Linked DNA regions of Struthio camelus. The protein of the gene in region 1 interacts with the protein of each later gene in a pairwise test. Links are inferred from orthologs where the notes say so. Each region holds a gene or a part of one and is shown in the gene's direction. Other genes may lie near its edges.

Region 1 (7,427 bases):
TGCAAATAAATTATCTATTTAAAACAAACACACATCCAGGTTTGGAGGAGAACTTGTTTTAAGGCTTCTGAGTATCTAATGTGGAATGCAAGTTTCCCATCGTTCAATCTCTAAAAGCATTCCTGAAACATCATAGCTCAGGTGTGAAGCCTCAAGTACATTAACTGTTTTAATATTTCATCTGTTTATTTAAATTAAATAGGAAGCATAAGATATTTTACTGGTTAGAGTGGGCTGGCAATTCAAATAACTTTTAATGATGTAATGCAAACTTGTAAATCATTTTCCGTGAGGGCCTCATAGTTCAGCACAGCTTTTATGTAATACACTAAATTGCTGGCATAGCTTTAAAATTTGTAATACTTGGAGATCATGAAAATTAGAACAGAATCCATATGTATACAGGAGAAGTAACTGAAAATATGGATTCAGGCTTAAAGCTTCTATAGATATGTTGTAGCCTTTAAACCAAAAATTGTATCTGATACGTATTAAACCATGGCACATGTAAATGCTAAAAAGAGTGGAATGGAAGTACACCACAGAAAAGAAATGTTCAGGTTATGTGGTGTGCTTGGCGGTAGTATAATTTCTCACAAAAACTGCTTTTATGGTGAAGTATAGTGAAGATACTGGCATAGTAGGTTTATGAATGGGAAATGCGATCATCATCCTTTTTAACTATGGAGGAATTCAGTATTTTTGACAAGCCCGTCAGCACATTATTCATTTTCTGCATAAGGCTTTTCAGTTAAGGCATCCAAGCATCTCTGAAACGATGCATAACTGTGGCTTTATTACTGCTTGTATCTATAGGTTTTCGTTACAGCCTAGGTATCAAGAGAAATGAATTATATTGCTTCTACGGGAGTTAAACGGGAAAATTTAGGGGAAAAAGAAAAGACTGAAAATAAACATACATCTGTTGTGAATCTGGATTGACTCTAAGGTTAAATAATGATGCCTGCCTTCACCAAATTGCCATGGAAAAATATGAACTGATCATAATTACAGTACAATAAAATCTCGTCCTCTTGCTTTGGTAGGCTCTTGAGTACAATAAAATCTTTGGCTAAAATAAACTGAATTCATATTTATAAGCTTTCTCTTTGACAGTAAGGAGCATATTCTCAAATGGCGAAAAATGTCATCTTTACGCTGACTTCTACAAAGCTATGACAGTTTATACCACTGAAATACTGGTCCGCAAGTATGACTATTTGTCTGATGTTCTCGTAGTATGCATATATTAGAAAGCTGCGCACTAGAAAGAAGTGTACAAGAATCTTGCTTATACTCTGATAAATACTCAGGAAGATGGTGCATTTAGCCTCCAGCGTAAAAGATTGAGCGAGACTACGGAAGTCCTGAAGCTGAGGAACTCTACGCTGATTCATTCAGGTCAATTTTTATGTGATCCCTTTTACCATAAATGGTAAATTAAAACAAAACAAAACCCAAAAAATAAAGCAAATGCAAATATGAGCCTGTATATGAAAATATAAATGATGTCCCAAACTATTTTGGCTACGGATGTTTTTAAGAGTTAAACAGTTTACTGTTTTCGTATGTTTAAAACATTCTATTTTTTCATTTGATGTTGTAAGCTTTGGGCAAACTTGTTGGCATTGATTTAAGTTATGCTTTTGTACCACATGTAGGTCAAACACACATTCTAAAAAGATACAACATGAATGAGAATCCAATCAATAATATTGAGAGGTAATAACTGTTTACACTTTCTTCAGTAAATATTTCAGTGAAAAGCTTTGCAGTGGAATTTTCTTTGTCAGAAAAGTTGCACGTTTTTTACAAAGGATGGCATAGTATATAGTTATTTGATAACTCCATAGAGAAACTTCTGAGGATATTTCAGTAAACGTTTGATGTTGTTTATTCATGTCAACATTAATTGCCTATATTTGCATTCTGCTTATATTATTTAAAATGAAAACATAAGGCTCTACAGAAATTTGTACTTCCAGCTCTTGTGTGCTTAAAAACTCTCATTGAAGAAGAAATAAGAACACTTGATGTAGGACTTGTGTACTTATTAGGGGAATTAAGATCCAAAGGAGATACAGTCCCCAATATTCGGATTTGATTATGAAGCTAATGGCGAATGCTTAGCTCTGTCATTATTACTTTGTTGTTGGGCTTTTTTCTTCTTCTTCACCTTTCGGAGCCCTTCCTACCTCTGCCTAAAAAGTGCTATTTGGCTCCGTCTCTTATTTCTCCGGGAAACCTAATCTTTCTCCCTCCCCCTCGTACCCTCTCGCTGTCTTCATTGTACTTCACTTATTTCGCTTTTTATCCTCGAGAAATCCTGTGCGGCCATCCCCTAGAATTTAAAGGAAAAAAAAGGGGGGGGGGGGCATTCTTACACCGGCGCGGCTCTGGCACTTCCCCAGCCCCGTCGCAGCTGTGTCGGGGTCAGGGCTGCCGCGACGGCGGCGGTGGCAGGAGGGGTGCTGGCACTCCTGCCCCCCCGGCGCGGCCCGGCGCGGCGCCGTCCCCCCCGACGGCGGCGTGCCGGCGGCAGCAGGTTGACGGGGCGCGCCGCGCCCGCCTGCCCCCGCGGAGGGCCGCGCAGCGCGGAGGCCGCCGGGGGATGGGGGGGAGCCGCCGGCCGCCGCTGCCGGGGCTCCCACCTGGGGCCGCCTGCGCCGCCCGCCCGCCGCGGAGCCGGCGGCGCCTCGGGCCGCCCCGACGGGGACACGGCCCCGGGCGAGCTGGCTGCGGCTCGCCTGCAGCTCGAAGCGCGAGGCACCGCGCTCGGCGAGGATCGCCCAGCTCTTGCTGCGTGACACCCCGCTACTTCTTAGGGACAACGGCATCACTGTTCTCACAGCCCTGCGAGTTAACAAAACCAAGAGTAGTTCAGCCATTGCGTTCGCTTTGCGCTCCCTTCTTTTAATATTAGAGCACATATTGAAACGATAAACACAATGAAAAGCACAAAATATTTCATCAGTGTTGTAACTGTATATTTCCTTTATTCTGAAGAAATATCAAGTTTTGAACAGTGCACAGAGGCAGCAACTTCTGCTTTGGACGCCACGCTCTTTTTAAAGACCGCATTGTTACACTTAAATCTAAAGACAATTTTTCAAAAGCATTAGATCTCAGAAAAGGGGGGAAAATCTTACCGTCGAAAGACTGCTACAGGTTCCAGCTCAGTCTGAAACTGCAGGGAAAAGTGGAGCAGCTGCTGAACAAAAGTTTTAGTTTTTTTTCAGAAAGTCTGCAAAACTAATTTCCCACAAAATAGGACTCAATTTCCGTTTAAGAAACTAGCTCTTGCAAATCTCATACAATTCCTGATTTTTTCCAATAGCAATTGAAATTCATTTTATCTTTCGCACATGGGCCCAAGAATTTAGACTTGAATGGCAGGAACGTAATGGTTTTGTATGTGTGCGTGTTTTTTTTTTTTTTAATTTTGATTTGGGAGGAGGAGGAGGAGGAAGGTAGACCGAGGAGGAAGGGCTAAGCAACAAAATACTTTCGCAGTGGGCACCTCTTGGGCAATGATCAATAAATACGTTATCGTCATTTAGACCAGTTAACTGCCTTCTTCGTGGCTACTGTTAATTCCACTACAAGCATGTTAAAAGGAAAAAAGCCAAGCACCGACTCTCTAGCCGGTCCCTCTTGAGTCACTAAAGACCGCAACGAAGAAAATGAAGATATAGAGAATAAAAATAATGTGAGTTCTTGCTTTGAAGGGGCAGGGGGCAAAGAAGGAAACTGTCTTTCCTCGACCATGTTTCGTAGCTCGTTAAGCGCCGGTTATTTCGTTGCAACCCTGCCTGCCGGCCCCGGCAGGTCCTGTGCGCCCAAGGCCAAGTGCGGAGGTAGGTGCGGGCACCCCGCGGAGGGCGGCAGGCCACCTCGGGCGCTGCAGATGCGACACGGGGGCAGAGCGAGGGGCGGGAAGCGCCGCGGCCGGACCCGCGCTCCCCCGCGCTCGGAGGACCGCGGCCGCCGCGGCGCCCGCCCGCCCACCTGGGAGCGCAGGTGAGGGGCCTCGCCGGCCCCTTTCGGCCCCCGAGAAAAGGTGCCGGCGCTAGCCCCGGCCCCCCCCCCCGACCCGGGCTCCCGCTGCCCCCTCAGAATAACCCCCGCGGACTGTGCTTCACGTGTTTATTGCGCTCCTCCGCTGGCTTTCCAGGGGGCGGTGGCACTCGGAGAGGCCCCGACGGGGCGGTGATGGCCCCGCGCGGGGCCGCACGGCTGCGGGGGCACCGCCGCCCCCCGGGGCCGCCCCGCCGAGCCCCGCGGCGCCGGGGCGCGCTCCCCCCCGGCCCGCCCGGGGGCAGGCAGGGGCGGGCTGCGCCCCCGCGGAGCCGGGCCGGCCCCCCTTCCCCCACCCCCCGCGGCTGCCGCGGGCGCCCGGGGCGCGGGCGCGCAGCGCTGCCGCCCGCTGACGGAGCGGCTCGGCGCGGGGACGGCGCTGGCGTTTTGGAGGGAGTTTGCATGTGGTCAGTGCTGTGCTCCTAAGCCAGCCCCCAGCTCACATTACACACTACTGTATTTATAACCTCTGAGAGCTGTTTCCCCCTTCAAGCAGTTCTCTGGGACCACCTTCTATTGGCTTCAACCTCTCCCACTTCTTGACATCTGAGCAGCTCTGAGAAAGGCTCATCTAGGTCCGAGTGTTTATGCAGCGGAGACTGGCCACTAGGGCTAAAGACCTGGATTATCTGAGCTCAGCTGCCTGCTGCAAAGTCTGTCGTTGCCGTTTTGGAAAAAAAAATCCCAACCCCGATCTGTTTACAGTGAAAGTTGACAAAGGGTGGTGAAGTTGGATCTTTCCTAAACTCTCCTGCCTGGAACCTGAGACTTGCATGCCATGGATCACACACTCTTTGGCTGCCTGCGCAGCCCCCATGCCACTGCGCAGAGCTTGCACCCTTTCTCCCAGTCTTCTCTTGCCCTGCATGGAAGATCTGACCACATGTCCTACCCTGATCTGTCTTCTTCTTCTTCCTCTTGCATAATAGCGGGATACCCCAATGAGGAGGGCATGTTTGCCAGCCAGCATCATAGGGGGCACCACCACCACCACCACCATCACCACCACCACCACCAGCAACAGCAGCACCAGGCTTTGCAGACGAACTGGCACATTCCTCAGATGTCGTCTCCTCCCGCCGCGGCCAGGCACAGCCTCTGCCTTCAGCCCGACTCAGGAGGACCCCCGGAGCTGGGCAGCAGCCCCCCCGTCCTCTGTTCAAACTCTTCCAGCCTGGGCACTAACACCCCGACGGGGGCAGCGTGTGCGCCAGGGGACTATGGCAGGCAAGCTCTGTCCCCGGTGGAAACAGAGAAGAGGTCCGGCAAAAGGAAAAGCGACAGCTCAGGTAACGGCTCACGCTTTGCCGTGCGGGCGGGACCCCCGGGCGGAGGGTGCCGGGGGGTGCGGCGCTGCCGGGCCGCGGGTCCCCCGCCGCCGCGGGGCTCTGGCCGCCCGCTGACACCGGGCTCCCGGGTCGCGTCTTCACTCAAACGCGCTCTCGAGAGCTCCATCATTAAAGCAAGCTTTTTTAGGGCTACGGGGCAAAAATAAAAAGGAGAAAGCCAGCACGTGATAGAGCATGAAATCGGGGGGAAGGGGGTGGGCGAGTTTCGTATAGTCCAGGAGAGAAACGTTTGTAGTTTTGACGAGGAAATTTTAGCATCTGGTGCCGTGTTCCCCTTCTCCCCCCCCCCCCCGCCCAGCGCCCGATACACCACCTCTGCTGCAAAATTCAGAATAGAGCGCGCTCGCTTCCCCTCCCGCCCCTTCCCCCGCGGCGCTCACCGCAGCTCCGCGGCGGCTGCACAGCGCCGGGACGCTTCGCCCCGCAGCGCGGCCGCGGCAGATCCGCGGCCCGGCCGGGGCCGAGCCGGGAGTCCCTCCGCCAAACGGGGGAACTGGCGTCTCAGACCGCGAGTTCAGCTGAGCGTCCTTGTGCCGGGGGCGGAGGGAAGGAAGGAGCTGTCGGACTTTGAAACGCACCACGATTTTTCACTCCAAGACGAGCATAAAAACGTGCAGACCCGCGGTCGTGGCGGGATGATGATTAGGCATCGCTAAGCGTGCAAACGAACTGCCAAAATCTCTGCTTTTAGCATGGCCAAGCCAGTCACAGCCCCATACTGACAAAAGGCATTCCGCGACGGCAGTGCGATGGATGGCACTTCCGTTGCAGCAGATACAAACTGAAGGCTCATCTAAGCTACACTGAGACAGGCAGTAGGCACTTGAAAAAGAGAGTACTCAACATTTTGAAAACTCAGGAGCGGGCATAGCGAGTTTCTTGGTTGCTACCAAGCAAGGGAAAGTGAAAGGATTTTGCAGATATTTATGAAGTTCACTGCTGAAACTGTGACCTCTTTCACTTGAAATATTTTGAGCTTGGTGAGCTGGTAAGCAATAGAAACTATTTTAAAAAAGTACTTCAAGGACACTGTCATTTTGTTCATTACCCATTACGTTAGGAAATGTTTACAGTGATTCAGGATGGGTTTAACTTTATTTTATCGTATGTAGCTGGTATATGGGTTTTAAAACCGCCAAGATTGAAAGCCATATTTTGTAAAACACTTGTAGCAAAATCTATTGTTGCATCTTCACTACATTTTGTGGAATAAAAGGAATTCTCTGATTCTGTGAGGTCTATGAGCAGTACTAAAATTTGTGTCCCCATTGCTACTGGAAAATAACTGGATGCCTGTTTGTGTAAGGCTTTATTATCTTTTGTCAGACTGTTTAAAGCTAAAAGAAAAAAAAGATATTGATGCCTTTCACTGTCAGGGAAATGTCTGCATTGCTTTCTGTTTATTCCATTTTGCAATGCAAATGCAAAAAGCAGCGGGGAATGTCTCAGACCTCATCCTGAAGCCACTGGAGTCTTCCATGGGATTTAGTGGACAAGAGCGCAAGCCTTTAGTCGTGATTATGTTTATATTGCACTGTACTCCGAACTTCACTTTCTAAGACTTTCTGAAGATCAAGGCAGGTAACTATTTCCTCCTCCCTTCCCTTAAGAAAAAAATATATGTCCGTTCACACGATTAGGAGTCTCTCAAACTGAAAGTTGGTGCCTTTTGACGACAACTGAGTTGCCAGAGAATCTTCGGTTTTTCTTCAGGAAAAAACTGACTTTTGGACCGACCTTTTAACCCCACCCCTTTATTAAACCTGAACTATGGTGCTAGATATTTAACGTCCTTCTAATGTATGGCAGCAAGAACTATTTGAGTCAATGTGTTTCTGTATTTGTCATCCATAATCGCTCCTAATTTGAATAAAAATTATCTCCTACTTTTCCCATTAATCCGTTTTTTAAACAAATCACCATACTTTAAAGAATCCCGTCCTCCCCCTCCCCACTTATGAGACATAATCATCACACTTGGAAGTACTTCAATAGGCGTTT
Region 2 (6,933 bases), on another chromosome or scaffold:
CTTGTCTCAGTCAAGTACTTTCTCTCTTCATCTCCTCTGTTTTTTGTCTCCTCTGCATGCAAGGCAGGAGGCTTTCCTCCTTTGCATTGCCAGAGGGCTCATTAAAGACTGCTGTCAATTATAGTGCTCACTCCCGCATTGATGGACAAGAAGTGGGAACAGCAACTGCTAGATAAAAGTCATGCTTTGCGATAGCCCCTTTACATAGAGTCTCTGCAGTAGGAGCAGTGAGAGGCATGCCCAGTGAGGGTGAATAATCTTGAGATATTAGCTGCTGAACTCAAAAAAGTATCTACTGTAATGTGAAAACTGTCACTCAAAATTTGGCCATATGTAGGAAGCTTTTCATGAGAACAGCAAAGTCATGTGCCCAATATGTTGGGCACGCTCTGTTTCAAAGCGTAAGTTTACTGGTGCTTGTGAAGGAAAAAGCTGCTAATATTGTTGATCATGCGCAAAACTAGAGTTCCATTAAAAAGAAAAAAACTTTCCTAATTCTCCCTAAAAGCAGCTGAAGTTGAAAATAAACAAAATCAGAGGCAAGCCCGCAGCACGGAAAACTGCAGATTAAAGAACTGTGTATCAGCAAATTGAGTTGTAAGATGGCTGGTGTCAAGCGACCTCACAGCACTCTTCACAAAAACCGGTGCTGTCTGAAACCTTGGAAATCTAAACATTCATTTGGATTCCAAAAGCGTCCCTGTTTCTGAGGCCATTGCAAACCTTAGATGATGCGCTGACACAACCTCCCCCTTTGAAGCCCTCTCTTCTCTTCCTTGAAGAGTATTTTTTCTTCTATTCTGCTTCAGATTTTCCCACTCCCAGATCTGCCGAACATGTACCTCCAGCTCCTTCTGAAAACATCCTCTGTTCTGGCAGATCTTCAGGGCCCAACACGTCTGCTCATAGGACTTCTTCTTGTAGGACTTAGGGCTGCCGCTTACTTCAAATAGATCTGCCTTCTGCAGCTTCCTCATTAATTATGCCCCCAGAGTGCATAACACATCTCTGGAGCACTGGTCTGCAAAATTCAAATGGAAAAGGGCTGGAAAGCTGAAATGAAGCACAGCCCAGCTTTAGAGGCTGCCAGAGCCAGTGAGCTGGAGGAATTTTCAGAAAAAGGGGAAGGACTAGAAAGAGAAGACGAGCTTCAAGAGGTAGTAGGCAAAATAGCAAGAACAGAGGCAATTAGACCAAATAGGAGGAAAGTGAGAACAGAGATGGAGGTCAGCCACTAACTATATCAGAATCATCTTGAATTAACAGTGGAGGGGGGATGTAAGGATTAGCACCAATAAATAAAGGGCAAGACAGAGGCACATTGAAGCTTGCATTTTGAGCAGTCAGTCGGATATTGATCATAGCAGAGGGGTGAGAATGAGGAAAAGAAATGAGATAAAAGGTACAGGTTGTGATGACAGTGATGGAAAAGACCAATTTAGTGTCCTTGCTCACAGATGATAAAATTTTCCCCTGAGCACGGTGTGTACAGACAAGCTATCTGGCCTCCCATAGTGTAGAGAGGCAAGCCCAGCTACCAACCGTATGCGGCCTGTAACCCACGTACAGTAGGTATGCTGGGATAAAACACACCCCTGCTGATAGTCCTCCAACACTCTCTCAGTGCTCATGTGGTGCCCAGACTCCTTACCTCCCAGCCCACTGGGAAAGAAGCAGCTTAAATTAGTACAAGGCATGGGTTAGGAATACAGGAATTGTCACTCTTCCGGGGAAGGAGTGCAGTTCCCCGTACAGATGTGGCTGTGATAATGCACTCAGCAAAACTTTGCAATTTTGGGTTCACCTTCAACCCAGCTCAGGCGTGCAGCTCCCACATCAGCCATGATTGCCCGTCCCCGATGGGCTCAGCAAAGAGGATTCCTTGCTCATAAAGAAAATGCCCCGGGGCAGTAAGTTCCTCCTTTTTCAGAGGCTGTTTTCAGGTACAGTATAGCTTTGGCAACCTTTTTGTGAGGCTATAAGACACAATGCAGCATTCTGAAGAGATGTTTGGACCCATATATCCAGAGGAAAACGGTGTATTTATCATGTCTACCAGTTCCTAGCGTCTTTGACGCATCTGTGCAAAATGTTGTGTCACATAAGCAAAGTTGGAAGTAGATAATGAAATGTAACAGTAGCACGATTTTATTTTTTGCTTACAGTTTTTGTGTCAGAATCCCCCAAAACATACACATGCATCTATAGCAGGAAAGAAGGCAGTCAAGACAATAGTAAAAATGCACTGAGAAAAGACCACAACACACATTTTTTATTTATCCTCTTCAAAAAAACAAACCAAAAGTGCAAAAGGTTCAGTTTTTGTGACCCATTGATTGCTAAGTACTTTAGTAAGGTGGCCACTCATGATTAAATACACTTCAAACATTCCAAATATAGGAAGAGAGCTAACTTGTATAATTACCACTGAACGAATCAATAAGGAAGGCTAATCGCTAGAGGAGACTGAATGCCATATTCAGTGAATGTAGATTTATGAACATTAGCTGCAAGACGTAACCTTCTGGGCCTAATACTGCTCCTACGGAATCCAATGAGAGCGTTGACCGTGGTTACAGCAGAAGGATCAGGTCCTGCTTTTGATAAAGAGTGAGCTGTTATCTGCAAAATTCCTAGGGAAGGTAAGCCACACAGCGGTCTCGAAACTACAAACGGGGGTAAATAGTACGTTGTAATATATTCAGCACGTGATAACGCAAACTACAGGGGAAACACAACAGGGAAAAACTAATAGCTGGCAAGCAAATTTTTGGAGGTATAGAAAAACGAGGAAGTAGAGAGTGGGTTTCCCCATTTTTCTCCTTTAAAATGAATCAGAAGATACAGAAAGTTGTTGCCTATTAATACGATACTGCTGTTTGGGCGGAAAATGAATTAACTTGATGCAGAGAATAGTTAAATAAGGGGTGCACAGCTTGCGCGGCTTGCATTTCACATTTCTGCTTTAATTTTATTAGAAGAGTGGTTCTACTGGTAGGAGCACTGTTCTTGGTGGGGGGGGGGGCACTCCATGTTACCATATGACTTTGTGCCAAACATTTAACCTCTCACACTTCGGGTCTCCGTGACAAGGCGAACGGTGGTTGCCTGGTTCTGTAGGACATCTTAGGTTCCTCAGAGGAAAACATGTTTTGAAACGTTAACAGCACTTCTCACACCCAGATCCCCTTACACACAGTGAGGAAACCTCACGGCGCCTCGTTAGATTTTTGTATGGGCTCACTCTAACTTTCGGACGACTAACGCGCAGATATAGCGTGTTCAAAGCCACTGCGGTGGCTCCACGTTGAGTCTGGAAGCAACCGTTGGGGCTCACGCGGCCACCAGCTCACTTCCACCCCGCCGCGCTGCGCCCCCACCGCTCCTGCCGCCTCACCCTCGCGGCCCACGGGCAACCACCGACTTGGTGAGGCCGCGCGCGCCGGGTGGCGGCAGCCTTCGCAGCGCGCTCCTCCTCGGCCGGCCGCGACACGCCGCGCCCTGCGGCGGCCTTGGCCCGCCCCCCCCTCCTCCCCCACGCGTGGGGTTTGGCGGGCGTTTCGACGCCCGATAACGCCCAGCCGCGTTGGTAAGGTAAGGGCGGGAGGGCGCCGCGAGGTCACCACGCCGCCCAGGCCGGCTGTCCTCCCCGCCGCCCCGCGTGTCCCCCCGCGCCCACCGCCACCGCGGCGGCCCGGCCCCGCCGCGGGCCTCGCCGGACCGGACCGGACCGGGCCGGACCGGGCCGGGCCGAACCGGGCCGGGCCGGCGCCCCCCGCGGGGCGGCGCGGGGCGGCGGCGCGGAGGCCATTTCCCCTCGCCCTCCGCGCCGCCGCCGGGCGGGAGCGCGGGAGGGAGGGGAGAGGAGGGAGGGAGGGAGGGAGGGAGAGAGAGGGAGGTGACCGAGGCTGACTGGAGTGAGGCGCTCAGCTGCCAACACTCACACACACTGCCTGCCGCTGCTGCTGCGCTGCTCCTGGGCTCCGGGCAAGACGGGGGAGAGCGAGAGGGACGGCGAGGAAAATAAAGAAGAGGAAGAGGAGGCAGGCGGTCATTAGCAAGGGGAGAGCTGAGAGAGGAGGGAAGAGAAGGCGACCTCCCTCCCCTGCGGAGAGAAGACTTTCCGTGTAGCTGGGGAAAGAGGGAGAAGGCTGGAGCTCAGAAACTGTGCGAGAAGCTTTCCAAGCAAGTTACTTAATCCCCGAAGAGCAGAGGGAGGAGGGGAGAGCGGTCATCACCGCTGCTGATAATAACTGTTATTCCCGGCCCCCGGTAGTTTAGCCCCCCAGGCGGTTCAATGCACTATTCCAAGCTCTTCCTCGTCTCCTCCTCGGGGTAACTTCGCCGCCGGTGCCGCCGGGGGGTGAGGAGCAGAGCCGCGGAAGAAGGAAGGCGAAGTTTGGCGGGGGCTGCGCGCGGAGCAGAGGAAGATGGGCTGGAAGCGCCGCTGCTGCGGGGGAGGCGGCGGCGGAGGGGACCTGCTCTGCCTGCTCACCCTGGTGCTGGGCTTCCTGCTGCCCGCCTGCAGGACGCGCCTCTACACCAACCACTGGGCTGTGCGGATCGCTGGGGGGCTCCCGGAGGCCAACAGGATAGCTAGCAAGTACGGATACGTCAATATAGGACAGGTAACCCGCCTTACAACTACTTCTGCGCAGGCGGCGCCGCTCCCGCCCGCCGGGCAGGCACCGTCCGCTGCCCCCGCCGCGGGCCCCGCCAGCGCCGCCGCCGCTGCCGCCGCGCCCCGGCCCGGCCCGGCCCGGCCCGGCGAGCGGCCGCGGGGCGCGGGGGCAGGTAGCGGGGCGCCGCGCCGGGGCGGTGGCCGGGGCCGGGGCCGGGGGGGAGGGCGGCGGGGGCTAAACTCTTCCCCCCCCCCCGAAAAAAAAAAAACCCAAATCGGAATGAAACACCGGTTCGTCCTTCGCGAGCCCGTGGTGCCCGCGGAGCCGGGACGTGGCAGCGGCCGCCGGGGGCTCCCGCCCCGCTCTGGGCGGCGGCGGGGCGGGGGGCCGCGGCCGCGCGGCCCGCGGGTGCCTGGGCTCTGCCCCGCCGGCGCGGCGTGCCCGCGCCTCCGTGCGGCGGCGGCGGCGCTGCCCGCGGCTCGGCTGACAGCGGGCGAGGGGCGAAGGCGGCCCGTAGGTGCCAGCGCGGCCAAGGTAGGATCGGGCAGGTCTCCCCTGGGCTCCGCCGGGCAACACCTGGATGCCGCAGGAGCCGCAGATGTGCAGCGAGAGGACACCTGGAACGGGCCCGCTCCAGGAATCCGTCCGTGAGAAAATTCCTGGATCCAGACGGATCCAGGAACGGCAAGTGAGGAAACACCTGGTTCCCCCTAGATCCAGTCACGCTGGAAAATCTGCTGCTGCTGCATCTAGGCGCTGCTGCTGCTGCTGAAAAATGTCATAAGATCGCCTTTTTTTTTTTTCTGACAAATTTGCCGCCGCGGTATGCTAGGCTTTCCTGACATTTAGCCTCAAAATGTGAGTCACGTATGTAGGGCATAGCAAGTTGAATGCCTAAAAAATAAACAGTTCTGTCGCATGCCTGTGTGCGAACATCCAGGCACGATTTTTCTAGACAGTAGTTTATACTACGTGAATTCAGAGTTTAGAAACAAGCATTTGCAGGTACAGAAGGCTTCATCCTATACATGAGATTTGCAAAATTACAGTTGCGTTAGTGCAACAGGCCTTTTACATCCACCGGCTGAAAGTGACGCGTATCTGGTTGTTATTTGTGTTGTATCACTAAGGCAAAAGTTTGAAGCGTGCATCTCAACCGTTCCCGATTACTGCCCACCTGAATAAGACAGCTGTGCAATTTATTCATACGAATAATTTACGTAAGAGAAGCCAGACTGCAGCAGTACAATACATGATGTATACAGATGCAGATCTTTAGGAAGGCTGAGCGCCAGCTTCCCCCTTGGAACGCTTGGGCAGGTAGGTAAGGCTATTCCCATTCGGAGGGACAGAAATTCATGAGGAAGTTTTTGTGTCCAGATTGAATCCATACCTTGAAAGTGCCCTTTTTAGAAGATGAAGGAATCCAAGAGCAAAGTTTTTTGCACCCATGTGTTTTGCTTTTGCCTTATGCATGTCTTTCACACAAGGTGTTTTTTGTATATTCCTGTTTGGACCTTTAAAGTGCTGAAATAAGTAGCAGTTAGCTGATGAGAGGATTCACTTCTTCCTCTTTTGTCTTTTGCCAGGCCAGCTGGCCAACTTAAGGCCTGCTTTTTTATCCCTTGCACATCCAGACCTCCTGCTGGATTAAGGAAAGAATATACTAAGCTGCTGTGGTCTTCTTGTGTGTCAGTGAAGTGCCATGTACACACACCTATGACATATTAATAATAGATACGTTACTGATCAGGTGTACAGATAGGAATGAGGGAAAATAGCGGCCATGAATAATGAACAACTGGAAAATACTTTACGAGGTATACAGATGAAAAGAGGACATACGTGAAGGGAGTCAGTACTGCTAGTTACGTACATAGGGAGAATGCAAGGCGACGAGTATAATACTGTTAACTGATGCCTGTGTGAGAAAGAAAACTTTGCTAATAATATGAACTACGCTGATGGGTGGTTCCTAGTCTTCTGACTGCTACCAACTGCTGAACATAGGAAGCTGGCGGCGGGCACGCACACAGATAGTCCGCAGAGCTTCCTGTATGTATTTTGGATTGGTGTAACCAAGTGCTAGATGTCATTCTGTCCTTCCAGTGCAGAGCTCAGAGCTCAACTGTTGTGCAGTTAAGAGGTCTTATGCGTTTGCAGAGACTTAACGCAGAGCTGCCTTTCATGAGTGTCTGTTTAGGATGGCCAGTTTTAGGTTTCTGATCATTCCTAGCAAAATCATCTGCAAATGGTATTTCTGTGTTGGCATTTTCATTAGTACTAGGTGGGCGTTCTAGTGTTTGCAGTG
Region 3 (6,969 bases), on another chromosome or scaffold:
CACTGGCAGGGATGGTGATCCAGGCCATGGTGCGCAGGCGGGGATGGTGGCCCAGGCCGTGGTGTGCACCCTGCGATGGTGGCCCAGGCCGTGGTGCACAGGCAGGGATGGTGGCCCAGGCCGTGGTGCACTGGCAGGGATGGTGATCCAGGTCGTGGTGCGCAAGCGGGGATGGTGGCCCAGGCCGTGGTGCACTGGCAGGGATGGTGATCCAGGCCGTGGTGCGCAGGCGGGGAATGGTGATCCAGGCCATGGGGCGCAGGCGGGGATGGTGATCCAGGTCGTGGTGCGCAGGCGGGGATGGTGGCCCAGGTCGTGGTGCGCAAGCGGGGATGGTGGCCCAGGCCGTGGTGCACTGGCAGGGATGGTGATCCAGGCCGTGGTGCGCAGGCGGGGAATGGTGATCCAGGTCGTGGTGCGCAAGCGGGGATGGTGGCCCAGGCCGTGGTGCACTGGCAGGGATGGTGATCCAGGCCGTGGTGCGCAGGCGGGGATGGTGATCCAGGCCATGGGGCGCAGGCGGGGATGGTGATCCAGGTCGTGGTGCGCAGGCGGGGATGGTGATCCAGGTCGTGGTGCACAGGCAGGGATGGTGATCCAGGTCGTGGTGCGCAGGCGGGGCGTGCAAGCTCTCTGGGGAGCCTGCGCCGGGCGGCCCTGCGCTGGCGAGCTGGCAGCCACATGCAGGCAGCAGGCTGGCTGATCTCGCCTGGCCCCTGCACAGACACATTAGTGCAACGAGCAGCTCCGGTGTCCAGCTAATGGAGCAGCTGGCGGGGGGCCAGGCTGCTCAGTGCGGGGCCCGCTGCCTGCCCAGCCGGGGTGCCCCACCGCCCTGGGGGCTGCTGGCACCGCGGTGTCTCTGCAGCCCGCCGGTGGCCCAGGACCCTCCGGCCAGGGCCAGCCCTGGCGTCAGCTGCCTTGGCAGGGGCCAGCTCCCAGCTCCCCCGGCCGAGGGCTGCGTGGGGAGGGCCCTGCCCTGTGCCCCTGCTCGGGTCCGCAGCAGCCGGGTGCCGAAGGGCCAAGATGCCCCAGGAGGGCGACGGGACCCCGCGCCCCGGCTGCGGGGCTGGTGAAGGAGCCTCCATCCCAGCCTTGGCCCCGAGGAGCTCATTAGTGATGCTCCCGCCTCCCGCTCCCGGTCCCTGCGGAGCAGGGCAGTAAGTGCAGGAGGCTCTAATGGCTCCAAGAAGCTCTTGATGGGCCGGTGATGGAGGCGGGAGCAGGAGGGGCTGCGGTTTCGCCTCAGACAGCGCTGGGGCTGCCGGTGCCCCCAGCACGGCCGGGAAGATGCTGAGCGGGCTCCTGCTGGGGCTGCTCCTCTCGGCGGCGGCGTGCCCCGGGCTCCTGGGGACAGGTAGGGCCCCGCTCGGTGCCACGGCCAGGTGCCGTCCCCCGCGGCCTGTCGAGGCGTCGAGGTGGCGTGGGCTCGGCCACGGGAGCTGTGACCCCGCGCCCGGCTGCCCCACGGCGGCGCGTCAGTGGGGTGAGGCGCGGTGCCACGGGGTGGTGGGGACGGGGAGCACGGGGCCGTCGGGGGGCCGCTCCGCCGGCCGGGGGTTCGCCCCGTCCCTTCCACCGAGGCTGCGTGCCGGGGGGGGCTGTTTCCCTGCCGTCCGGGCCCGGCGGCGGGCCGGGGGGCAGCGGCGGGGCCGCAGCCCCTCTCCTCCGCGTTCGCCCTTGGCCAGCGCCGTGGGTCGCGGGCCGCCGCCCCGTCCCCGCCCGTCCCGTCCCGCCCCGCCCTGGCGGGGAGCCGCCGCCCCGCGGAGCGGCCGGAGCTGAGCCCGGTCCGGGGCGGCTCCGCTCGGGGCTCGGCGCTGCGCGGGGGGGGGGGGGGACCCGCGGCGGGGGGGACCCGCGCGGCCCCGGCCCGGCTCCCGGGAGCGCGGAGCGCTGGCCGGTGCCGCCAGCGCCCGCCTCGCCCCGGCAGCGGCCGGCGGCAGCCTGCACCTCTGCGAGGGCTACGCGGGCCCCGACGGGCGCTACCACGCCGGCTTCTACTGCCCGCGGCTCGGCGACCCGGCCGGCCACCGCTACTGCTGCCGGCCCGGCCCGCGCGCCCTCAAGTCCTGCTGCCCCCGCCCGGCCCCGGAGGCCCCCGCCGGGGCGAACGGCTCCAGCGCGCCGGCCGCCGGCCCGCTCAGGTGGGCGCCGACCCCCGACCCCGACCCCGACCCCCGGCCCCGGCCCCGGCCCCGGCCCTGAGCCGCCTCCCCGGCCAGGAACCCGCTGGCGCTGCCCTTCGTGGGGCTCTACGGCCTCCTCGTCCTGCTGCTCGCGGCCGTCGACCTCCTGCACTTCTGCCGGCTCCAGCGGGGCCGCCCGCCGCCCCCGGCTGCCCGCGCGGAGGGATGAGCGCCCGGCGCCGCGGCCCCCTCCCCTCCGCTCCGCTCCGCTGCGGCCGGGGGGCGCCGGGGCACGGCCGGGGCGCCCCCCCGCAGGGCTCGGGGTGCCGGGCCCGGCAGCAGCGGCTGGCAGCCGCGGGCCCCGGCACGGCGCCTGCTCGAAGGGGCGCGGCGGGCGGGGGGGGGTCGGGGCGGCACCCGCGGGAGCGCACCGGGGGCAGCGGGGGCACCCAGGGGGATACACGGGGGACAGTGGGGGCACGCTAGGGTGCACTGGCGCACCTGGGGGGGTATATGGGTGACAAAGGGGGCACAGTAGGGTGCACTGGGGCATCCAGGGGGGTACATGGGGGACAAGGGGGGCACACCAGGGTACACTGGGAACCCCCTTGGGGCACCTGGGGGGACATAGGGGGAACACCAGGGTGCGATAGGAACACCCCTAGGGGCACGTGGGAGACAATCGGGGCACAGTAGAGTGCAATGGGGGCACCCAGGGGGCACATGGTGGGCACACCAGGGTGCAATGGGAACATCCTTAGGGGCACACAGGGCACAATGGGAGCACACTAGGGTGCAATGGGGACACCCATGGCGGCACATATGGGGCAATGGGGGAACACGGAGGGGCAGCGGGAGCACCGAGGGGTGCAATGGGCAGCACCCATAGGGGTATGGGAGCTGTAATGGGGGCACCTATAGGGGTGCGCATGGTGGGTGCAATGGGGACATTCAGGGGCATGCATGGGGGGTGCAATGGGGACACCCTTGGAGGCATATGGGGGGTGCAATGGGGACACCCATGGAGGTACATGGGGGCGCACACGGGGGTGCAATGGGGACACCCTTGGAGGCATATGGGGGGTGCAATGGGGACACCCTTGGAGGCACATGGGGGCGCACACGGAGGCACAAGGCGCGCGCAACGGGGTCGCGGCGGCAGCGCGCGCAGATTGCGCGCACGCGCGCTGCGGCCGGGGCCGGGGCGCCCCCTGGGGGCGCGCGGGGGCGCTGCAGGCTCGAGCCCGCCCCGCCCCCGGGGACTCGTCACGTGACGCGGGGGGGGGCGTTCCGGGTTCCCCGGGCGATCGGCGGTGACGTCACGGGCGCGGCGCGATGGAGGCGGCGGTGAGCGGGGCCGGGGGGGGCCGGGGGGGGCCTGACCGGGGTGCTGGGACCGGGACCGGGGGGGACTTGGGGGTCGGGAGGGCCCTGGGCGGGACCGGGGGGCCGGGACCAGTGGGACTGGGCGAGGCTGATGGGACCGGGGGGGGAGCTGGCCGGGACCGGGGGGGCCGGGGGGGAGCTGGCCGGAACCGGGGGGGCCGGGGGGGAGCTGGCCGGGACCGGGGGGGCCGGGGGGGCCTGGCCGGGACCGGGGGGGCCTGACCGGGACCGAGGGGACTGGGGGGGAGCTGCCCGGGACTGGGGGGACCGGGGGGGGGGACTAGGGGGACTGAGACCGGGACTGGAACCAGGGGGACTGGGTAGAGCTGGCTGGGACCGGGGGAGCCTGGGTGGGACCGGGGGGACCGGGAATGGCCTGGCTCTTACTAGGGGGGGCTGACCAGGCCTGGCTGTGACTGGGGGGAGCTGGCCAGGACCGGGGGAGCCAGGGGGGTGCAGTCGTGACCGATGGGGTGGGGAGGGCCTGAGGGGGGGCCTGGCGTGGACCAGGGTGTTGTGGTGGGGCCGGGCAGCTGCGGGGCGAGGGCCTTTCCCGGGAGCCCCTCACAGATACCCGTCCCGGGCCCATCCCCGGGCTGTCGGGGCAATGGGGGCCCGTCCCAAGGGCCTGTCACTGCCCCGTCCTCAGGGCTGACGGGGCGATGGCTGTCTGTCCTAGGAGCTGTCATCGCCCCGTCCCCGGGGCAGCTGGGGCGACGAGGTTTGTCCCGGGCCCATCCCTGGGGCAGTCTGGAGGGTCGTGACCTGTCCCAGGTCCGTCCCTGCATGGCATGGATGGGGTGGGGACCCTTTTCCAGGGATCCCCCCAGGCAGTGCCCCTGTCCCACCCCGGTGCTGGTCTCGCAGGTGACGGCGGGGCAGCTGCGCGAGCAGGGCAACGCGCTGTTCCAGGCGGGGGACCACGCTGCGGCCCTTGCCGCCTACACGCAGGCGCTGAGCCTCTGCGATGCCGAGTCGGAGAGAGCCGTGCTGCACCGCAACCGCGCCGCCTGCCACCTGAAGCTGGTGAGAGCGGGGGCGGGCGGGCGTCACCGTGCGCCCTGCAGGAACCGACCTGTCCGGACTGGCCTGCCGGGGCGTGCTGCTGCTCCGGCCTCTCCGGAGCTGCCTGGTAGTGTCCTGTCCCTCCCTAAGAGGCGGGTAACTCTCCGTGCCAGCAGGTAGCAGAGCAGAGTGACCAGGGTGGCCAAGTAGTATATCTCCTTGAACTGATGCTGCGGAAACATCTGTTTTCCAGGGCCCTTAGGACCCTTCCTTCTTGTTGCATTGGCTGCCTGCCCTGCTTCCTCTGCTCTTCTCTTCTCCTGGTCTATCTGATGCTGTCCCACCTCTTTAGTGGGCTGTCTGGGCCTGGGCAGCACACTACTGTCCATGTCAAAGATGCACAGATGCTCTGCGTTGGGTCCCCAGACAGTCACAGTGTCTCTGGTCTGCTGGCGTGGAACGGTCTCTGAAGCAAGTGGGAAACACAGATGGATAGGGAGCGCCATTGCAGTGGGCACTCAAAGGGCACGAGGCGGGGGCTTATGGCTCCTCAGGAACCCTTGTGAAGGCTGTGTTCCTGCGAAGGGCCAGATGCCCCGTCATACCGGTTCATTGTCCTCGGTGACTGTGTTTCCATTCTCAAACCCCCACGGTCATTTCCCTACACGCTCCTCTAAAGAGTCTGGTGCTGCCTCTGCCCACAAGCTGGGGTGCATGTGACCTACATGTCTACCTGTGGGCAGTGAGGCAGGCCGTTTCCTTCTCACCAGTTCTTTCTCTGCAGGAAGACTACGCCAAGGCAGAAGCTGATGCATCTAAAGGTACTGTCGGAGCATGGCTGGTAGGAGACCGGTCTCTGTGTGCTGCCTGTCTGTTGAGGCAGAGAGGAGTGGTCCAAGGGCTCTGCGACGCATCTCTCGCTTGTCCTCAGCCATCGAAGCCAATGGACGGGACGTGAAGGCGTTGTTCCGCCGTAGCCAGGCGCTGCAGAAGCTGGGCCGCTTGGACCAGGCTGTCAGTGACTTGCAGAGGTGTGTGAGCCTGGAGCCCAGGAACAAGGCCTTTCAGGAGGCGCTGCGCACCCTGGGGAGCAGCATGCATGAGAAGGTGAGCTGGGGAGACCACTGGTAGGGCTGGCTGTGTGCTGCTGTTGTGGAGCGCTGCAGGTATGGTCTGTTCAGGGGAATGGTGAGGGTTGAGCTGCTGTTTCTGATCTTTCAGATGAGGACAATGTCCTGCACGGACTCTAAGGTGGACCAGATGTTTCAGATCTTACTGGATCCTGAAGAAAAGGATGCAGACAAGAAGCAGAAGGTCTGAACTCTAGGGAGCAGAGGGGGATATGGCTTGGACGGAAGGCAAGGAGGGGGAGGAATTACCCTTCCTGACTCAGCGCTGCTGGCTGAACTGTGCTACCCTGCGGGGGCAGAATGTGCTCTGCAAGGGTTGGGGTGGAAGGCGGGTGCTCGTGGCTGCCCTGGTTACCTGGCAAGCTCCTGTGGGGCAGGTTCCCTGCTCACAGTGAGCTCCATTCCGTGGCTGAGCCGCCCCGATATGTGGGCTGGCGCCCCAAACATGACTCTCCTCTCCTAGGCTGCGCAGAACCTGATTGTGCTGGCACGAGAGGAGGCCGGAGCAGAGAAAATCTTCCAAAGCGATGGCGTGCGGCTGCTGACGCGGCTCCTCGACACGGCCAAAGCTGACATGATGCTGGCGGCCCTGCGCACCCTGGTGGGGTTGTGCTCCGGGCACCGCTCCCGGGTAGGTCACATCATAGCTTCTCCTGCTCGATGAGGCCTGGCCCGGGGGGCCTGATATCTGGGCGGCTGTGAAGCGTGTCAGGCAGGGAAGCGTGGCTGGCCTCTGCCTGTGGATAGCTGCAGCCCTGCTGAGCAGTAGAGCCCTCAGCTGTCACCCCACCAGGCCCAAGCTTAAGGGAGCCTTGTTGTGACAGGAAACCATCTGGAGATGGTGCTGAGGAGTGCCAAGGCTTCCCTGAAGTCTCCAGCAGACAGCTGTGCTTGTACTTGCAGACCACGGCCATCCTGGCGGAACTGGGTGCCCCTCGTCTTTCAGCAGTGCTGGGTGTGGAGCATGAGCAGGTTTCTCTGGCTGCCTGCAACCTGCTGCAGGTGATGTTTGATTCCCTGAAGGAAGGGATGCAGAAGGACTTCCGTGGAAAGGAGGATGCAGTGGTGCTAGGTAAGGTTCTGCCTGCCCCAGCTAGCTACCGTGGCCGTAGTGTGTAGTGGGCTGGGGGTTCTTCTCCCTCTACCTGCCTTGCCACTGCTCCCTGATGGACTCAGAGCCAGGGACTCAAGTCCAAGGTTAATATGGCCTTGAGCTGGGAGCGGGGATCCCCTGATTGTGGCAGCATCTCCTGCCAGCCTTGCCACGATGGGGGTGAGGCCCCTGTCCAGGGCACTGACCACTGGGCACTCTCTCTCCTGGA
Region 4 (6,872 bases), on another chromosome or scaffold:
CATAAAACAATCCACAACATTTTGCATATTTGAAAATAGTAAGATGGACAGGAGGGAAATCAAAAGCCTTTTTTAAAATAGTAAACTGTTTGCTTTTTAGGTCAATATGTATGTTGTCACATAGAAAATTTAAAGATTCAGCTGCACAGCGTTCCTCCTCTCCACTTTTTCCTGCATGACCAAGATCAAGGGTTTCAGATAATTTACTTATTTTCAGAAGCAAACACTTCTACTGCAATATATGCCCAAAGTCAAGAATCATACAAACTCCACATTTCCAAGCTGAGTAGAATATTTTGACACTTCATTTCACTTTTTGCCATCAAACAGGCAGAAGTGCAAGTGTCTTACAAATGAGTTTGGAAAAGTGCTGTGTGATGTTCCAGAATCACATTCATAGTAAATGCTTTTCATATTTTAATGTTGCTTATTTGATTAACAAACTCCATTGTATTCTTCATATAAATGCTAAATCCAACATCAACAATAAATCAATCTGTGAAGGAAAGAATTTTATTAGAAATTGAAAGCTAGACTTTCATGGTTTGATTCCAACATTCTAAGTTTCAGCACTCCAGCAATGTTACCAGAGTAATCCATTGTGCGAAAAAGAAGGAAAAGGACTGAGATTTAACTTCTCTCTCTCTCAGGTAAAAAGGTTTCTTCGTCTACTTATCACATGTGCAAGCTGTTAAATAATAAGTTAGGACCAAAAGTTACTTTTCAAAGATGGTACAAGAGATTTTATCATGTACAATATTAGCCCTAAATCTTAATTTTAGTTTCTTCCCTTTTCCGCAGAGTAAAGCTGCTTGAATACACTGTGTAGTACGCAACTTAAAGGGAAAGAAAAATGTTATTTTAGAGCGTTTGAAAATATCAGTGGTCCAATTATGGACCTAAAAATATAGTTTTACTTCTTATTCCATCAGCATGTTAAAAATCTTATCAAATTTTGAGTATATATTGGGTTTTCCTCTTAGAAAGTGCTTCACTATAGCTAAGGAGAGTAAAGAAACCTTCATGCTGTTTATATATGCTAATTCTAACACTCTGTCAGAGATAATATTTGTATTACTCTGCTTATATTTTGAAACTCATCAACCTTAGTAAATTAATTGTAAATTCTAAAAACATTGCTCGTAGTCCATCCATTTATAAGAGGATCACATACAAATCCCGAAGAGAGACTATACAGCCATGTAAGAATTTTCAGAAACTTGTAAAAGGGTATTTTAAAAATAACACTACTATCTATGTTTATAACTACTTGCTTCGTAGGAAATTAGAAAACATTTCAGAAATTTATTTCAGACTATAATTTGGAAATGTTTAGTGACAATTTGTGTCAGGAACAGTTTCTTCTCAGTGCCAGAAGGCCCTCTCAACATCCCACTTATGTGAAACGAGTTTTTAACCGTGCCACAAGCACAACACACGTATGATGCTGCGACACACTGCTGAAAAGGCAAAGAAAAAAGTGTCAATCAAACAGTGTAAGACAGAGCTGTTTACCTGCAAAAAAATATTTCGCAGTTCAGCAGGATCTGCTCTCTTAGTTGATTGCACCTGTAAATAAAAGTAAGTTAATGCTTCACTAGCTGAGCTACTGACAGAGTTTAGAAAAAACCTGCAATCTGTGCTGATAAGGGCAACAAATACCAGTTCTCTTATCTAACCGATAAGGAGAATCTCAGACATCAAACCCTTCCTTTTTATTGCTCGACTCCAAAACGAGTCGAGCACCGCTGACAGCTGTCAAACCGGCGGGGCACCGCCCGCCGCCGAGGCCCGCGCCCGCCGCCCCGCAGCGACCGTTACCGCCCGCGCGCCCCGGGCAACGGCCGCCCCGGGCCCGCGCCCCCGCTTCGCCTCAGAGGGCGGAGGCAGGCCAGGCTGCGCGGCCCCTGCCGGCCGGCGCCCCGCCATCACCGCCCCCGCCGGGGCTGCCCGCGGGGCTCCCTCCCGCCGCCCGGCCGCCCCTCGGCCAGCCGCCCGGGCCGGCGGAGCGGCCGCCCGCCTCCTTCGGCGATAAGCGACGGAGGGCGAGAGTCACCTTGACCGCCATGCTGCGCCCGGCGAGGAGGAGCAGGAGGAGGAGGAGCCGCCCGGCGCTACCCACCCGCCGCGCCGCCGCACCAGCCGCCGCCTCGGCGCCGCGCTAATGAGCGCCCTGCCCTGTCCTGCCCCGCCCGGCCCGGCCCGCTCCCCGCGCAGGGCTCCCCTCGGCGGCCGCGGCCCGCCGGCCCCGCCGCTCCAGCCGGCAGCAGGCTGCCTGAGGCCGCCCAGGCGGCGTGTGGCGCCCCTTCCTCCCTCCAAACAGGGGCAACAGGAGCGCAGCCGCCGGCCCCTCTGTGGGGCTGCTGGCTCTGGAGCCGCTCCACTGGGGTGCGCGTGCAGCCGCAACCGTAATCGTGCAAAACAGGAATTTCTAAAACGCTGCTGACAGGCCTTTCTGGCTCGAGGGAAGCAGCCGTTCCCTTGAAGGTCAGGAAAGCGATACCTGTTGATTGCAAGCGATGTCACTTTCTGCAAAAGCGCTCTAGCAGTGAAGAGCTGGTAGCCTCATATTTAAACAAAGAAACAGAAGTATAACGTAGTCAGTTCTGGACAGCTTCTGACAAACTCTCCTACCTTAAACAGGAGGACACACTGACTGACGCACGTTGTACCTCAAAACGAAAAAACAGGCAAGCCACATCCTCAAGAAAGGAGGCATTTATACTTTCTTTGGACAGTTCAACCACAATAAATGCTTGCAAAACCTGAATTTAAAAAGAATGCACGTTTTGTCATGCTATACCGTAATTCTCAGAGCCCAGCAAGATCTCTTCTGTTAGATATCACTGGAAAGCATAAAAATGACTACTTTTGTACTCCAGATAACAGAGTGGGATATAAAACTACAATAAATAGTACTAATGGTAAAGCTACTAATGGTAAAACTGAATATTTGTCCTTAGTTTAGTTAAAATGTAACAGTGGCATCGAGCCCATATAGCCTGTATATGAAGACAAAAATGGAAGTAGAAGAGATTTGTTTACTACTTCCAAAACTGCAATGGAAGATTCTATATATTTTAAAGTCTTATTCACAGAGGATTAATTTTAACATTGTATTTAGTAAACTGGTGAGAGGGGAGATCTAAATCCACCCTTTCCTAAAGCACGGAGGACATTCAGTTGTCAAACGCAATGACACTTCTACATCAGAAACCAATGTGACTGCTTGCCAGTTGTGCAGCAGTTGAGGGTTAAGTTACTTATTTGGTGTTCCAGGCCAAGCAGAGAACAGAGGGCATAATCTCCACATGGCTTAAATTAGAATTGGATAAACTGGGTGCTTTATCTGGACTGGCCCTCGACCGTGCTGCGGACAGATATACCGCATAACCTCACACTTGTTCTCTGTCATAGTTCTGGGCCGCTGCTCAAATACTAACCTTCAGATAAAGCCTGTTTGACTCATACTAAAATGGACTCCTGATAGATTAAAATACCGGTAAGCTTTGAAAAGCGGCAGGGCAGCCAGCAGCAAGGTGTCTCCTCATAGGCCAGAGGTGCAGCTGCCTGAGGGGTTTCGCGGCTGTCGCCTCACAGGCCGGGCTGGGACCTTCCGTCAGGCGGCGCCAGGGCCGTGGGGACGCGGGAGAGCGGGACGCCGCCGCCGGCCGGCCCTGCGGGAGCCCAGCCGGCCGCGGCCGCGCCAACCGCCGGACGGGGCCACAAGCGCTGCAGGGCGGCGCGGGCAACGCAGGTGCGAGGCCGAGGCCGAGGCCGAGGCACTGCGCATGTGCGCCGGCCCGGCAGGGGAGGGTCGGCTGCTCGGGGGGCGGGGACATGCAAATAAGCTCTTTAACGGGTCCCGCGAGGAGGGCGTAGCGCGCAGGGCGGTGCCGAGCATGCGCGCTCGCGTGCTAGGCGGCGGTGGCGGCTGCTGCAGCAGCAGCGGTGCCGTCCGCTCCCCGGCCGTATTTCGGCGGGCGGAAGCGGAAGTGTTTGTGTGTGCTCTCATTTCCGGTGAGTGGGCGCGCGGGTTGATTCGTTCTGCCTGGGTGACTTGGCCGCCGCCGCTCGGAAATGGCGGGTAAGTCCGCGCCGCCGCCCTGCCCTGCCCTACCCGGCCCTGAGCGGCCCCGCCGGTCTGGGCCGGGCTCCGGGGGCTCGGCTGGGCCTGCCCGGCCCTGCCCTGCCCTGCCCTGCCCGCGGAGGGGCGGTGGCTCGGCCGGGCCCCGGGGCTGCGGGAGTTGGGGGGGAGGGAGGGGCGCAGCCGCCCTGCTGCCGCCCTGCTGCCGCCCCGCCGGCGGCCGGGCCGGTGCCGCCCGCAGCAAGCGGGGCGGGGCGGGGGTCAGCGGGGGCCCCCCGAGGGCGCCGGGGGGGGAGGGCAGCGCCCTCGAGCTCGTGATCCCCGCACCTAGTGCGGAGCCGCAGCGCCGCTCCCTTTCTGCTGTCTTCCTGAGGGAATCCTTGGTTTTATTTAAAGTTTGCTATGAATAATCTGAAACTAGAGGGGAAAAACTTTCTGAGGAGGCTTCTGGAATGAACCTTGGATAGCCATGGGGAGGAAAGCCTTAAAACACTTGAAAAATACCTTACTAGGTGACAAATGTTTTGTATGCTGGAATGTACTTTGGAAAGCAGAGCAGATTTAACTTGTTACTCATTTCTGTTCTGCTTCAAAAAAAAAAAAGTGGTAATTAGGTAATTATTGGTGGTATGTATGCTACAGTTGAGAACCCCTGTCTGTGAAAATGATTGCAGTAAGGTGCCTAGTATTAGCTACAGAGACATACTTTTTCAGGAGTTCTTTGCTTTAGTCTGCTTGGTGCTGTTGGGGGGGTGGGGGGGGGCTTTCCTGAATTGTTGTAAATCTATGAAGAGGAAGTAGCTAGTGCCCTTTTATTTAGGGTCTTGAAACAAACAACTTTATTTTCAAATGCCTTTTTTGTTTAACGCTTTGAGATTAGGGCTTTGCCTTTCCTGAGGAGCTGTGCAAAAGATGGGAAAACAAATAGCAATGCAATACAACAAATACTTTGGAATAGTATGAGATATACTAATGTATGCATGCTCTGTTAAGAAAACATGAGGAAAAGAGAAAGTTATTTTAGTCCTGTGCTTATTGACCAGTGATCTGCCACCAGGCTTCTCCCTCAGTCTGCTTACTTTTTCACATACCTATCTGCCTGTTTTTGCAAAACACTTTATTGTCAAACACTTTATTGTCACAGAACAGATTTGCCTTTGTCTTATTAAGACAAAGCAATGCAGCCTTAAAGAGTAGGAAGGATGAAAAGCTAGAAGTTACAAGAGAGGCAGTGGATTCTGATATAAAGTCTTGATGTTACAAAAACATGCTCTCTATGTGCCTGGTGTTTGCTTTTAGTTTTACTTTTTAATTCTGAGATTGTATTCCCCCACCCCCTACCCCCAATTACTTTTTCAGGCAGAGGTATTCCTTCCATGTTTGGTGGGGGTTTTTGGGAGGGGGTTGTTTTTTCTTCAAATCATTGAGTCCTTGGTCTTAAAAGAATTTCAGCTTCCTGTACTGATGTAGGTGCAGAGGCAGCCCAGTAAAGTAAGACCTATGTACGTGTCTGAGCATTTCTTAATTATATTATTTATATGTTCAATTTATGTTTCGGGGAAAATATAAAGGATAGTCTTCTCATAATTGCTTTTTATTTGATATTCTGCTGGATGAGACACAGAAATCTTTGTACAGTGCCATTGAAGTTTTCAGTAAATGGGTTGCTGCAAAGAAGCTTGCAGCCAACTGAGCTTGTGTCTCTGTTTAGGAAAAGTGCTCTTTGAGGTTGTCACACAGAAGTTATAATCTCTCATTTCCCGTTTGTAAAATAAGCATGTTTCTTGAAGTTGTAATGAAGAAACTGGCAGGTGGGGTATAAGCAGTACTGAGAATTTCTTGCTTCTGTTCTAGTGGCTGAGCCAAGTATGTGTGCTGTTTCTTGTTTGCTGCCTTGTATGAGTATTCCAATTTAGTTTGGTTCTGTTGCTGGGGAGAGGGAAGGAAAACTTGTAACAATCAAGCATATACTGTGCTTACTTGTTACCTTCATTTTGTAGAAGTTTTTTGAATAGTTATGCTTCTATAAGCTTAAAGTCATGCTTACAGAAGATGACATGCAATTTGTGTAGAACGGTATGGTTATTATGAAAACAGGTTTGTCTTGTGCCTCATAAAAGTAGAAATACCCACAAGAAGTAGGGATTCTTCCATGCAGATACACTTGTAGGCTCCCTGAGAAAGCATGACGTTTGACCATGGTTTCATGTAGATCAAAGTGTCACAAAGACATGATTCTTTAACTTTTGCAAGGATGTAATGGCAGGCATAACAGTGCTTGTCCAATAAGGCCCTGATCCTCTCTGAGGCTTCTGGGCACTTTTGCTGTCCAAAGAAGTAATAAGAAATTATAATTAGGATGAGCTGGATGGTTTTTACATTCTGAAGTTAAAATGCATGTGCTAGTTTCTAGAAACATCTGTTAGACTGAATTCTTAGTTTTTTGTTCCAGCTTTGAAAGATGTTTTTATTGGTAATAACGTCATTTTAAATCTTTTGACTATAACTCCGTTCTGAGAAACTAGAAAGGGAGATAACTGTGGTCTGTTTCCTAGTTCTTGTTTCTAGGTCCAGAAAAGTTTGTGAGGTAATCCAAATATTCCTTTTAAATTTTGAGTACATATTGAACAGATAGGTTTAAAAAAAAAAAAAAAAGCCATAGTATTTGTGGTGGTGTCCTTCTGTTTTTGAAAATCTTCTTCTAAATATGTTCCTTGAATAACAGTGATACAAGTTTGTGTGCGTCATTAAAACTTTCTTAAAACCTTTCTCTTCAGGGCTTACT

What was found.
Region 2: the proteins of MEOX2 (region 1) and PCSK5 interact in binary tests that used the Homo sapiens proteins (3 or more experiments, as listed by UniProt). The two-hybrid records come from large-scale screens. The link is inferred for Struthio camelus from reciprocal best matches to the Homo sapiens genes MEOX2 and PCSK5.
Region 3: the proteins of MEOX2 (region 1) and UNC45A interact in binary tests that used the Homo sapiens proteins (3 or more experiments, as listed by UniProt). The two-hybrid records come from large-scale screens. The link is inferred for Struthio camelus from reciprocal best matches to the Homo sapiens genes MEOX2 and UNC45A.
Region 4: the proteins of MEOX2 (region 1) and HAT1 interact in binary tests that used the Homo sapiens proteins (3 or more experiments, as listed by UniProt). The two-hybrid records come from large-scale screens. The link is inferred for Struthio camelus from reciprocal best matches to the Homo sapiens genes MEOX2 and HAT1.

Annotation. Positions count from the first base shown.
Region 1 is NC_090943.1:33,643,150-33,650,576, reverse strand, and holds the start of MEOX2 (homeobox protein MOX-2), read left to right. Parts: upstream 1-4,425; 5' UTR 4,426-4,855; coding exon 4,856-5,366; intron 5,367-7,427. UniProt on the Homo sapiens protein: Mesodermal transcription factor that plays a key role in somitogenesis and somitogenesis and limb muscle differentiation. Required during limb development for normal appendicular muscle formation and for the normal regulation of myogenic genes.
Region 2 is NC_090982.1:28,163,201-28,170,133, forward strand, and holds the start of PCSK5 (proprotein convertase subtilisin/kexin type 5), read left to right. Parts: upstream 1-3,910; 5' UTR 3,911-4,430; coding exon 4,431-4,628; intron 4,629-6,933. UniProt on the Homo sapiens protein: Serine endoprotease that processes various proproteins by cleavage at paired basic amino acids, recognizing the RXXX[KR]R consensus motif. Likely functions in the constitutive and regulated secretory pathways.
Region 3 is NC_090953.1:537,227-544,195, forward strand, and holds the start of UNC45A (protein unc-45 homolog A), read left to right. Parts: upstream 1-3,965; 5' UTR 3,966-3,980; coding exon 3,981-4,286; intron 4,287-4,379; coding exon 4,380-4,538; intron 4,539-5,301; coding exon 5,302-5,338; intron 5,339-5,448; coding exon 5,449-5,624; intron 5,625-5,738; coding exon 5,739-5,831; intron 5,832-6,110; coding exon 6,111-6,278; intron 6,279-6,550; coding exon 6,551-6,719; intron 6,720-6,969.
Region 4 is NC_090947.1:22,834,119-22,840,990, reverse strand, and holds the start of HAT1 (histone acetyltransferase type B catalytic subunit), read left to right. Parts: upstream 1-3,866; 5' UTR 3,867-3,902; coding exon 3,903-4,020; exon of another isoform or gene 4,021-4,080; coding exon of another isoform or gene 4,081-4,087; intron 4,088-6,864; coding exon 6,865-6,872. Other genes in the region: SLC25A12 (electrogenic aspartate/glutamate antiporter SLC25A12, mitochondrial), read right to left, coding at 1,516-1,569, 3,501-3,551. UniProt on the Homo sapiens protein: Histone acetyltransferase that plays a role in different biological processes including cell cycle progression, glucose metabolism, histone production or DNA damage repair. Coordinates histone production and acetylation via H4 promoter binding.